Saccharomyces cerevisiae S288C: one gene and its partner. Each later gene encodes a partner of the first gene's protein in a complex. Each region holds a gene or a part of one and is shown on either strand. Other genes may lie near its edges.

Region 1 (5,883 bases):
TCGTAAGACACTTAACTATCCAACGTTCATTAGATTATTCGGTCAATTTCTTTTTTCATGCCCCTCCTTTTTCTTTTCTTTTCTTGACTCGTCGTTTCTTTTTCTTTTTTTTTTTTTTTTTTTTCTTCAGAACTATAACACATAGATACACTCGAACATCTAATTGTTTAAATACTGCAAAGAATACAAGGTAATCGACTCTTCTACATACCCTTTTTGCAGATTTGAAATAAAAAAAACATTATATGTTTAGCTTATCGAACTCTCAATACACCTGCCAAGACTACATATCTGACCACATCTGGAAAACTAGCTCCCACTAATTTCATTGCTTAATAATCAGAAATTCTATCACAAACCACTCCTAAAAATATTTCAAATGTCCTCCGCTGCAACAAAAGCTACTTTCTGTATCCAAAATGGTCCTTCCTTTGAAGGTATATCTTTTGGTGCAAACAAATCTGTTGCTGGTGAAACAGTTTTCACTACTTCTCTGGTTGGTTACCCAGAGTCCATGACTGATCCTTCCTACCGTGGTCAGATATTAGTCTTCACGCAACCCTTGATTGGTAACTACGGTGTCCCATCCGGCGAAGCCCGCGATGAATACAATTTACTGAAGTATTTTGAATCTCCGCATATACATGTGGTCGGCATCGTTGTCGCTGAATATGCTTATCAATATTCGCATTGGACCGCTGTTGAATCTCTGGCACAATGGTGTCAGAGAGAAGGTGTTGCTGCTATTACTGGCGTAGACACCCGTGAACTAGTGCAATACTTGAGGGAACAAGGTTCTTCTTTGGGCCGTATTACGTTGGCTGATCATGACCCTGTCCCCTACGTGAATCCCATGAAAACTAACTTGGTTGCTCAAGTCACCACAAAAAAGCCTTTCCACGTCTCTGCCTTACCTGGGAAGGCTAAGGCAAATGTGGCTCTTATTGACTGTGGTGTTAAAGAAAACATTATCAGATGCCTAGTCAAAAGAGGTGCCAATGTAACTGTTTTCCCCTATGATTACAGAATTCAAGATGTTGCTTCTGAATTCGACGGTATTTTCTTATCCAATGGACCAGGCAACCCAGAACTATGCCAAGCTACAATTTCCAACGTCAGGGAATTACTAAATAACCCTGTTTATGACTGTATCCCTATTTTTGGGATTTGTCTAGGCCATCAACTCTTGGCTCTGGCCTCCGGTGCCTCTACTCACAAATTGAAATATGGTAATAGGGCTCACAACATCCCTGCCATGGATTTGACTACCGGCCAGTGCCACATTACATCTCAAAATCATGGCTATGCAGTTGATCCTGAGACCCTACCAAAGGACCAATGGAAACCTTATTTTGTTAATTTAAACGACAAATCAAACGAAGGCATGATACACCTTCAAAGACCCATATTTTCTACCCAATTTCACCCAGAGGCAAAAGGTGGTCCCTTAGACACAGCTATTCTTTTTGACAAATTCTTCGATAATATAGAAAAATACCAATTACAATCTCAGGCAAAAAGTTCAATCTCACTAAAAGTAACATACAGTACCGATAAATCGAGATTGCAGAGTATAAATGTTACTAAGTTGGCCAAGGAAAGAGTGTTGTTCTAAAAACAAAATTTATACATTACGTAACACATACGTACATCTAAATACGATTCAATTCAGTTCATGGTATTTTGCGCTACTCGTCGTTGCTTAGTATCTACTCGCAGTTGTCATAATTAACGGGCGCTTCTTGTAATTAAATGAACAAAAAAACGTAACGTACGTACAATGGCTCTAATTTCATCCTGCCATCCTAAAAAAAAAATCAAATAAAGCAGACTCAAAAATTTTCAGCTTCAGTTAAATTTTGATAAGTATATTTGCATAACTCAAGGAGTTTGTGCAAACGGTTTTCTTTCTTTGTGGTTTGTTTTATTTACTTTCCAATAATACCCGTCTTGTTGGTTTAAGTCGTAACAAAAGGAAAACTTACAATCAGATCATGACGACCCAGCAAGAGGAGCAACGAAGTGATACCAAGAATAGCAAAAGCGAGTCACCTTCAGAAGTTTTAGTCGATACTCTCGACTCAAAGTCAAATGGCAGTAGTGATGATGATAATATCGGACAAAGTGAAGAGCTATCAGATAAAGAAATATATACAGTAGAAGATAGACCACCAGAATATTGGGCTCAAAGAAAGAAAAAATTCGTACTTGATGTAGATCCAAAATACGCCAAGCAAAAGGACAAGTCCGATACGTACAAAAGATTCAAATATTTATTAGGCGTCACAGACCTTTTCCGTCATTTTATTGGAATTAAGGCAAAACATGATAAAAATATTCAAAAACTCTTAAAACAGTTAGATTCTGATGCAAACAAACTTTCCAAATCACACAGCACCGTCAGTTCGTCATCACGTCACCATAGAAAAACAGAAAAGGAGGAAGATGCTGAATTAATGGCTGATGAGGAAGAAGAGATTGTAGATACATATCAGGAAGACATATTCGTCTCAGAATCTCCCTCCTTCGTCAAGTCAGGAAAATTAAGAGACTATCAAGTTCAAGGCTTAAACTGGTTAATATCGTTGCACGAAAACAAACTATCTGGTATCTTGGCCGATGAAATGGGGCTGGGTAAAACCTTACAAACAATTTCATTCCTAGGTTATTTGAGATACGTCAAACAAATCGAGGGACCCTTTCTAATAATAGTACCGAAGTCAACACTAGATAATTGGAGACGAGAGTTTCTTAAATGGACTCCAAACGTCAATGTCCTTGTGTTACATGGTGATAAAGACACAAGAGCTGATATAGTACGGAATATAATATTAGAAGCTAGATTTGATGTATTGATTACATCTTATGAAATGGTCATTAGAGAAAAGAATGCTTTGAAAAGATTAGCTTGGCAATATATTGTTATTGATGAGGCTCACAGGATCAAAAATGAACAAAGCGCGTTATCTCAAATAATTAGATTATTTTACTCTAAGAATAGATTATTGATTACGGGCACGCCTCTACAAAACAATCTACACGAATTATGGGCCCTGCTAAATTTCTTATTACCTGATATATTTGGAGATTCTGAACTTTTTGATGAATGGTTCGAACAAAACAATTCGGAACAAGATCAAGAAATTGTAATCCAACAGCTACACTCAGTACTAAACCCCTTTTTACTGAGAAGAGTCAAAGCGGATGTCGAAAAATCTTTGCTACCTAAAATCGAAACGAATGTTTACGTGGGGATGACAGACATGCAAATACAATGGTATAAATCATTATTAGAGAAGGATATAGACGCTGTTAACGGTGCTGTTGGAAAAAGAGAAGGCAAAACGAGGTTACTGAATATTGTTATGCAATTAAGGAAATGCTGTAATCATCCATATCTTTTTGAAGGCGCAGAACCTGGACCTCCATACACTACCGATGAACATTTGATTTTCAATTCCGGGAAAATGATTATATTAGATAAGTTACTGAAAAGACTGAAGGAAAAGGGATCTAGAGTATTGATTTTCAGTCAAATGTCGAGACTATTGGATATCTTAGAAGATTATTGCTATTTTAGAGATTTTGAATATTGCAGAATCGACGGTTCTACTAGCCATGAAGAACGTATAGAAGCTATCGATGAGTATAATAAACCTAATTCTGAAAAGTTCGTTTTTTTGCTAACAACACGTGCCGGTGGTTTAGGTATTAACCTTGTCACAGCCGACACTGTTATTCTTTTTGATTCTGATTGGAACCCTCAAGCTGATCTACAAGCAATGGATAGAGCGCATAGAATTGGTCAAAAGAAACAAGTTCATGTTTATAGATTTGTCACAGAAAATGCTATTGAAGAGAAAGTCATTGAGCGTGCCGCACAAAAGCTGAGACTAGACCAGTTGGTTATCCAACAGGGCACGGGCAAGAAAACTGCATCTCTTGGTAACTCAAAGGATGATCTGTTGGATATGATTCAATTTGGCGCTAAAAATATGTTTGAAAAGAAAGCAAGTAAAGTCACTGTTGATGCTGATATCGATGATATTTTGAAAAAGGGGGAACAGAAGACACAAGAACTAAATGCCAAATACCAAAGTTTAGGACTTGACGACTTACAAAAGTTCAATGGGATCGAGAACCAATCTGCTTACGAATGGAATGGTAAAAGCTTTCAAAAAAAATCCAACGACAAAGTAGTTGAATGGATTAATCCTTCCCGAAGAGAAAGAAGAAGAGAGCAAACCACTTATTCAGTTGACGATTATTATAAGGAAATTATTGGTGGTGGCTCTAAATCAGCAAGCAAGCAAACTCCGCAGCCAAAAGCACCCCGCGCTCCAAAGGTTATACACGGTCAAGATTTCCAGTTCTTCCCCAAGGAGTTGGATGCCTTACAAGAAAAGGAACAGCTTTACTTCAAGAAAAAGGTCAACTATAAGGTTACTTCTTATGATATTACGGGAGATATACGTAATGAAGGAAGCGATGCTGAAGAAGAAGAAGGAGAATACAAAAATGCCGCTAATACAGAAGGTCATAAAGGCCATGAGGAACTTAAAAGAAGGATTGAGGAGGAGCAAGAGAAGATTAATTCAGCACCGGATTTTACCCAAGAAGATGAATTACGAAAGCAAGAATTGATATCAAAAGCCTTTACTAACTGGAATAAGAGGGACTTTATGGCGTTTATCAACGCCTGCGCCAAATACGGTAGAGATGATATGGAAAACATTAAGAAATCTATTGATTCCAAAACACCAGAAGAGGTTGAAGTGTATGCAAAAATATTCTGGGAAAGACTAAAGGAAATCAATGGGTGGGAGAAGTATTTACATAATGTAGAACTTGGTGAAAAAAAAAATGAAAAACTGAAATTCCAGGAAACTCTATTGAGGCAGAAAATCGAACAGTGTAAACATCCATTACATGAGCTGATAATACAGTATCCACCTAATAATGCTAGAAGAACTTACAATACCTTAGAAGATAAATTTTTATTATTAGCTGTTAACAAGTACGGACTTCGTGCTGACAAGCTCTATGAAAAATTAAAGCAAGAAATCATGATGAGTGATTTGTTCACTTTTGATTGGTTTATAAAGACAAGAACGGTGCATGAGCTATCAAAAAGAGTCCATACGCTATTAACTTTAATTGTAAGAGAGTATGAGCAACCTGACGCAAATAAGAAGAAAAGGAGTAGAACTTCAGCGACTAGAGAGGATACTCCTTTATCCCAAAATGAAAGCACTAGAGCTTCAACGGTTCCAAATCTCCCGACGACGATGGTGACAAATCAAAAAGATACAAACGATCATGTTGATAAAAGAACCAAAATTGATCAAGAAGCATGAATCATGTATTGTGCATTAAAATAAGTGACGTGAGAGATATAATTTTTTATATTACTTTTTCATTGAATACAATTAAACTAACGAGCCTTATAGACCGCATTATATAATGAACCGTAGCCACTTCTTGACCACTATCTTCAAGTTTGATAATGATAAATGACAGGTAATCATATTTCAGTCACCTTTTTCCCTTCAATGAAATGTGATATCGCTGCAAAAATGGTGAATGAAGAGGACAAATTAAGTCTAACTGGGTCGAGCCGCTTTAACTAATTCATATCCATTCTAAGATAATTGAACTGCTGAAAACTAAAGCCTGCTTTGATACTTGTCATATTGTATTTATCTACAAACTTACATTAACAACAGTGTACTGAATTATAAGAGAGCAATTGCCAAAAAAGTCATTTAGTTAAAACTTCTCCATTTCAAGTTTCCAAGGATAGGTGAAGTGCTATCCCAGAGACTCCAAAAACATGCGAATATATTATTAAGTTTCAGTTGATTAATATTTCTAAACCATATA
Region 2 (3,099 bases), on another chromosome or scaffold:
TTTGCTTAAGTCTTTCTTCTCATCATCACATTTCTGCATCACATACCAGATTGCATCCCATGGAGCGTTAGTCTTTAGGGACGATGGTTGGGCATGTGTCAATGAACATTCAAAGCCTAGGGAACCTAGGCCTGCGACTACTTTTTTCAAGGGAGGTACTTGTAATTTTATTACCGATGCAATATGGTTAGGACTGAAATAGAATGGCGAATCGGATAATTCATTCTTAGCTAGAGATAGCATACCTTCAATTCTTTTACGTGTTCCATATGTATCATCCTGGTCACGATGCTCTTCTTTATTAATTCTCAACACCTCCTCGATGAACTCCTTGTTGTGTAGAGGTCCTGCATACATTGGACCAGCTAAATGGTATGTCCCCTCGCAGAACTTACATTTAGTATCAACCGGAGGCCCTTGCGCAACCGAGTATTTGGTGAATGTTTTGTTGTTCCTACCTTCGCGTTGAGAAATTCTGCCCAGAGGTTGATTGTGGTAAGAGCCGCAACGGGAACAATGGTAAGTAGTCATAGTACTTGACATAACGTTTTTGACTTCAATCGGGCTTGTTTTGACTTTGACAAAAACTCTGACGTAAAAGTCAATGCTCAACGACAAAAGCGGTTCCACAGTTTTCTTGTATTTCGCGGCAGTTTGCTTTAGTAAGTTCAATACTAGTCTCAGCGCACTTTCGTGAGTTGATTCATGAGAAACCATATTTGCACCACCATATAAGGCAAAACACTTTTCTGGGTATCCGTTACCGGCCAAAACGGATAAATCAGTGCAAGTTACCAGCATTAGACCACCCTCCTCAATACTCTGAATAGCCGCATCTACAAAAGGTGTAACGGTACCGTAAGGATCCAAGTCGATGACGTGAAACTTATTATTCGTCGCTTTGTTACGGTACATTAAGACATTAGCATCATCAAGGTTTGGCTTGACAATGTTTTCGACACTATTATATTCAACGTTTCGTTTTATAGATTCGACAGCCTCTGGAAGTAAATCGTTAGCAATAACTTCCCTCACATGGGGAATTTCATGAGCATACCTAATGGCTCTTAACCCAGTGGCTGACAATGCTTCCAAAATATTTATATAAGGTTCGTTTCGATTAGAATTACCAACGGCTTCTTTTGGTGACCCGTTTCCCATTTTTTGACGCTTGGAAGAATCATCGTTAGTTTCCGCGCACCTTTTCTTCTTACTTTTTTTATTATTTCTCTTTTGGCCACATTCCTCACCATATAGGTTGTCCCACGCCTTGATGCATGTAACACTTAGATCTCTATTAAATTGTTGGATGGGATTATAGAAAACAGTTTCCTTTTTAGGGAAAAGAATTTCTGCTTTTCCTTCCTTGACTATATTGAAATCCTCAATATTGATTCTTGGTGCACCATACGCGGTAAAATTCGCTTTAATTTTGGATATAGCAGCCTTCAACATTCCGTGTAAATTTGCCCGCTTGAGGGGTATCCTGAAGAAACCTTCCATATCTACATTGTAAGAGGAAAGGTATCAACTTATGACTGCTCAGGATCTGTAACTTTGCGATGAGCATTGAATGCGATGAAAAAAAAATAATGCTTTATCCCTTTGGACGAATAAAGAAAGGCTCAAATTGGAATAACGTTAAAAACCAGATTCGATCATCAGAGCTTAAAATTGTTATTCATAGCGGCACAATAGCAGAAGCCACAGAATATTACCTAGAGGTTTTAGGTGAAAGGAAGGATTTTTTTAATTATTTAATACTTTGAAATAGAAGTCAAGCCTTTCATTGCTTATTTATATCAGACCATATATTTTTACACACGATGCCACCAAAAGGTTGGAGAAAAGACGCCCAAGGGAATTACCCCACTACTTCGTATATTAAAGAACAAGAGAACATTACGATTCAGGACCTGTTATTTCCTAAAAGCACTATTGTGAATTTGGCACGCGAAGTGCCACAGCAAAGCGGCAAAAAGCTGCTGATAAATAAAGACGCATCACTAGCGTTACAGCGTGGTGCTACAGTATTTGTTAACCACTTGCTCCTGTTTGCAAGGGAAATTGCAAAGAGTCAAGATAAAAAAAGCTGCAGTGTAGATGATGTTCTGAGTGCTTTGGACCATATAGGACACTCGGCATTGAAGGGTCCGGTTAGAGATAAACTAGATGAATACCAAGCTGCTGTTGAACAGAGGAAGAAGGAAAAACTAGATAGTGGTGAAGTAGATGCTGATGGCGATATAGATATGGGTGAAGATAAGGAGAATGTGCCCGTGGAAAAGGTTAAAGAGCATGACGAAATAGAAGAACAAGGCGATGCATTACAGGACGTAGAAGAGTCCTCCGAAAAGAAACAGAAAACGGAGAGCCAAGATGTAGAAACTAGAGTTCAAAACCTTGAGCAAACGTAACCCCGCTATGGAAACTGTCTAGTAGTGCTTGCCACCACTCCCACAGGATCGTAGTATGTAACTTGCCTTTATTACCTACATACATAATAAGCTATACTCATCGTCGTTATTTGCAAGCCGGGGAACCCAACGCGGCGCCAATGCGGAAGGAAAGAAAGGGGACAAGAAGTTGATATTGGTGGAACGTTAACAAGAAATTATGGCGTTGAGGAAGTGTATTAGCGAGATACGATATCAAGCAGGTTTAGTTAGAGCCACTTTGTGATTTGAAATTTTTTGAGATTTACTTCGTTATTATAAGGACATACGGTAACCTAGGCTAGTTAACATAATTAGTTGTCACCCTTCGCCCCCCTACCCTATCGGTCTTTCATTTTCCAACTATTGATTAGTAAAATTCAAACATCTTTGCTCCGATTAGAGCAACTGAATATACTAGGGATTTTGGGCTATTACGCATTTTTTTTTTCAACTTCTTTTAAACAGGTACAGTTTATTACGATTACTTTTTGCTCACGTAGAATATGGATGATTATCACGTAAATACTGCCTTCTCAATGGGCAGAGGTAACCAGCAGGATGATGGCAATAGTGAAAGCAACAGCATGCATACACAACCAAGCACTATGGCGCCCGCTACGCTGAGAATGATGGGAAAAAGTCCACAGCAGCAGCAGCAGCA

Evidence for each region.
Region 2: ISW2 (region 1) and DPB4 share a complex: the UniProt entries of both Saccharomyces cerevisiae proteins name them as parts of the ISW2 complex.

The regions. Positions count from the first base shown.
Region 1 is NC_001147.6:882,520-888,402, forward strand, and holds ISW2 (DNA translocase), read left to right. Parts: upstream 1-1,994; coding exon 1,995-5,357; downstream 5,358-5,883. Other genes in the region: YOR302W (uncharacterized protein), read left to right, coding at 246-323; carbamoyl-phosphate synthase (glutamine-hydrolyzing) CPA1, read left to right, coding at 380-1,615. UniProt on the Saccharomyces cerevisiae protein: Catalytic component of the ISW2 complex, which acts in remodeling the chromatin by catalyzing an ATP-dependent alteration in the structure of nucleosomal DNA.
Region 2 is NC_001136.10:691,759-694,857, forward strand, and holds DPB4 (DNA polymerase epsilon noncatalytic subunit), read left to right. Parts: upstream 1-1,826; coding exon 1,827-2,417; downstream 2,418-3,099. Other genes in the region: TRM1 (tRNA (guanine26-N2)-dimethyltransferase), read right to left, coding at 1-1,503; serine/threonine protein kinase KIN1, read left to right, coding at 2,942-3,099. UniProt on the Saccharomyces cerevisiae protein: As accessory component of the DNA polymerase epsilon (DNA polymerase II) participates in chromosomal DNA replication.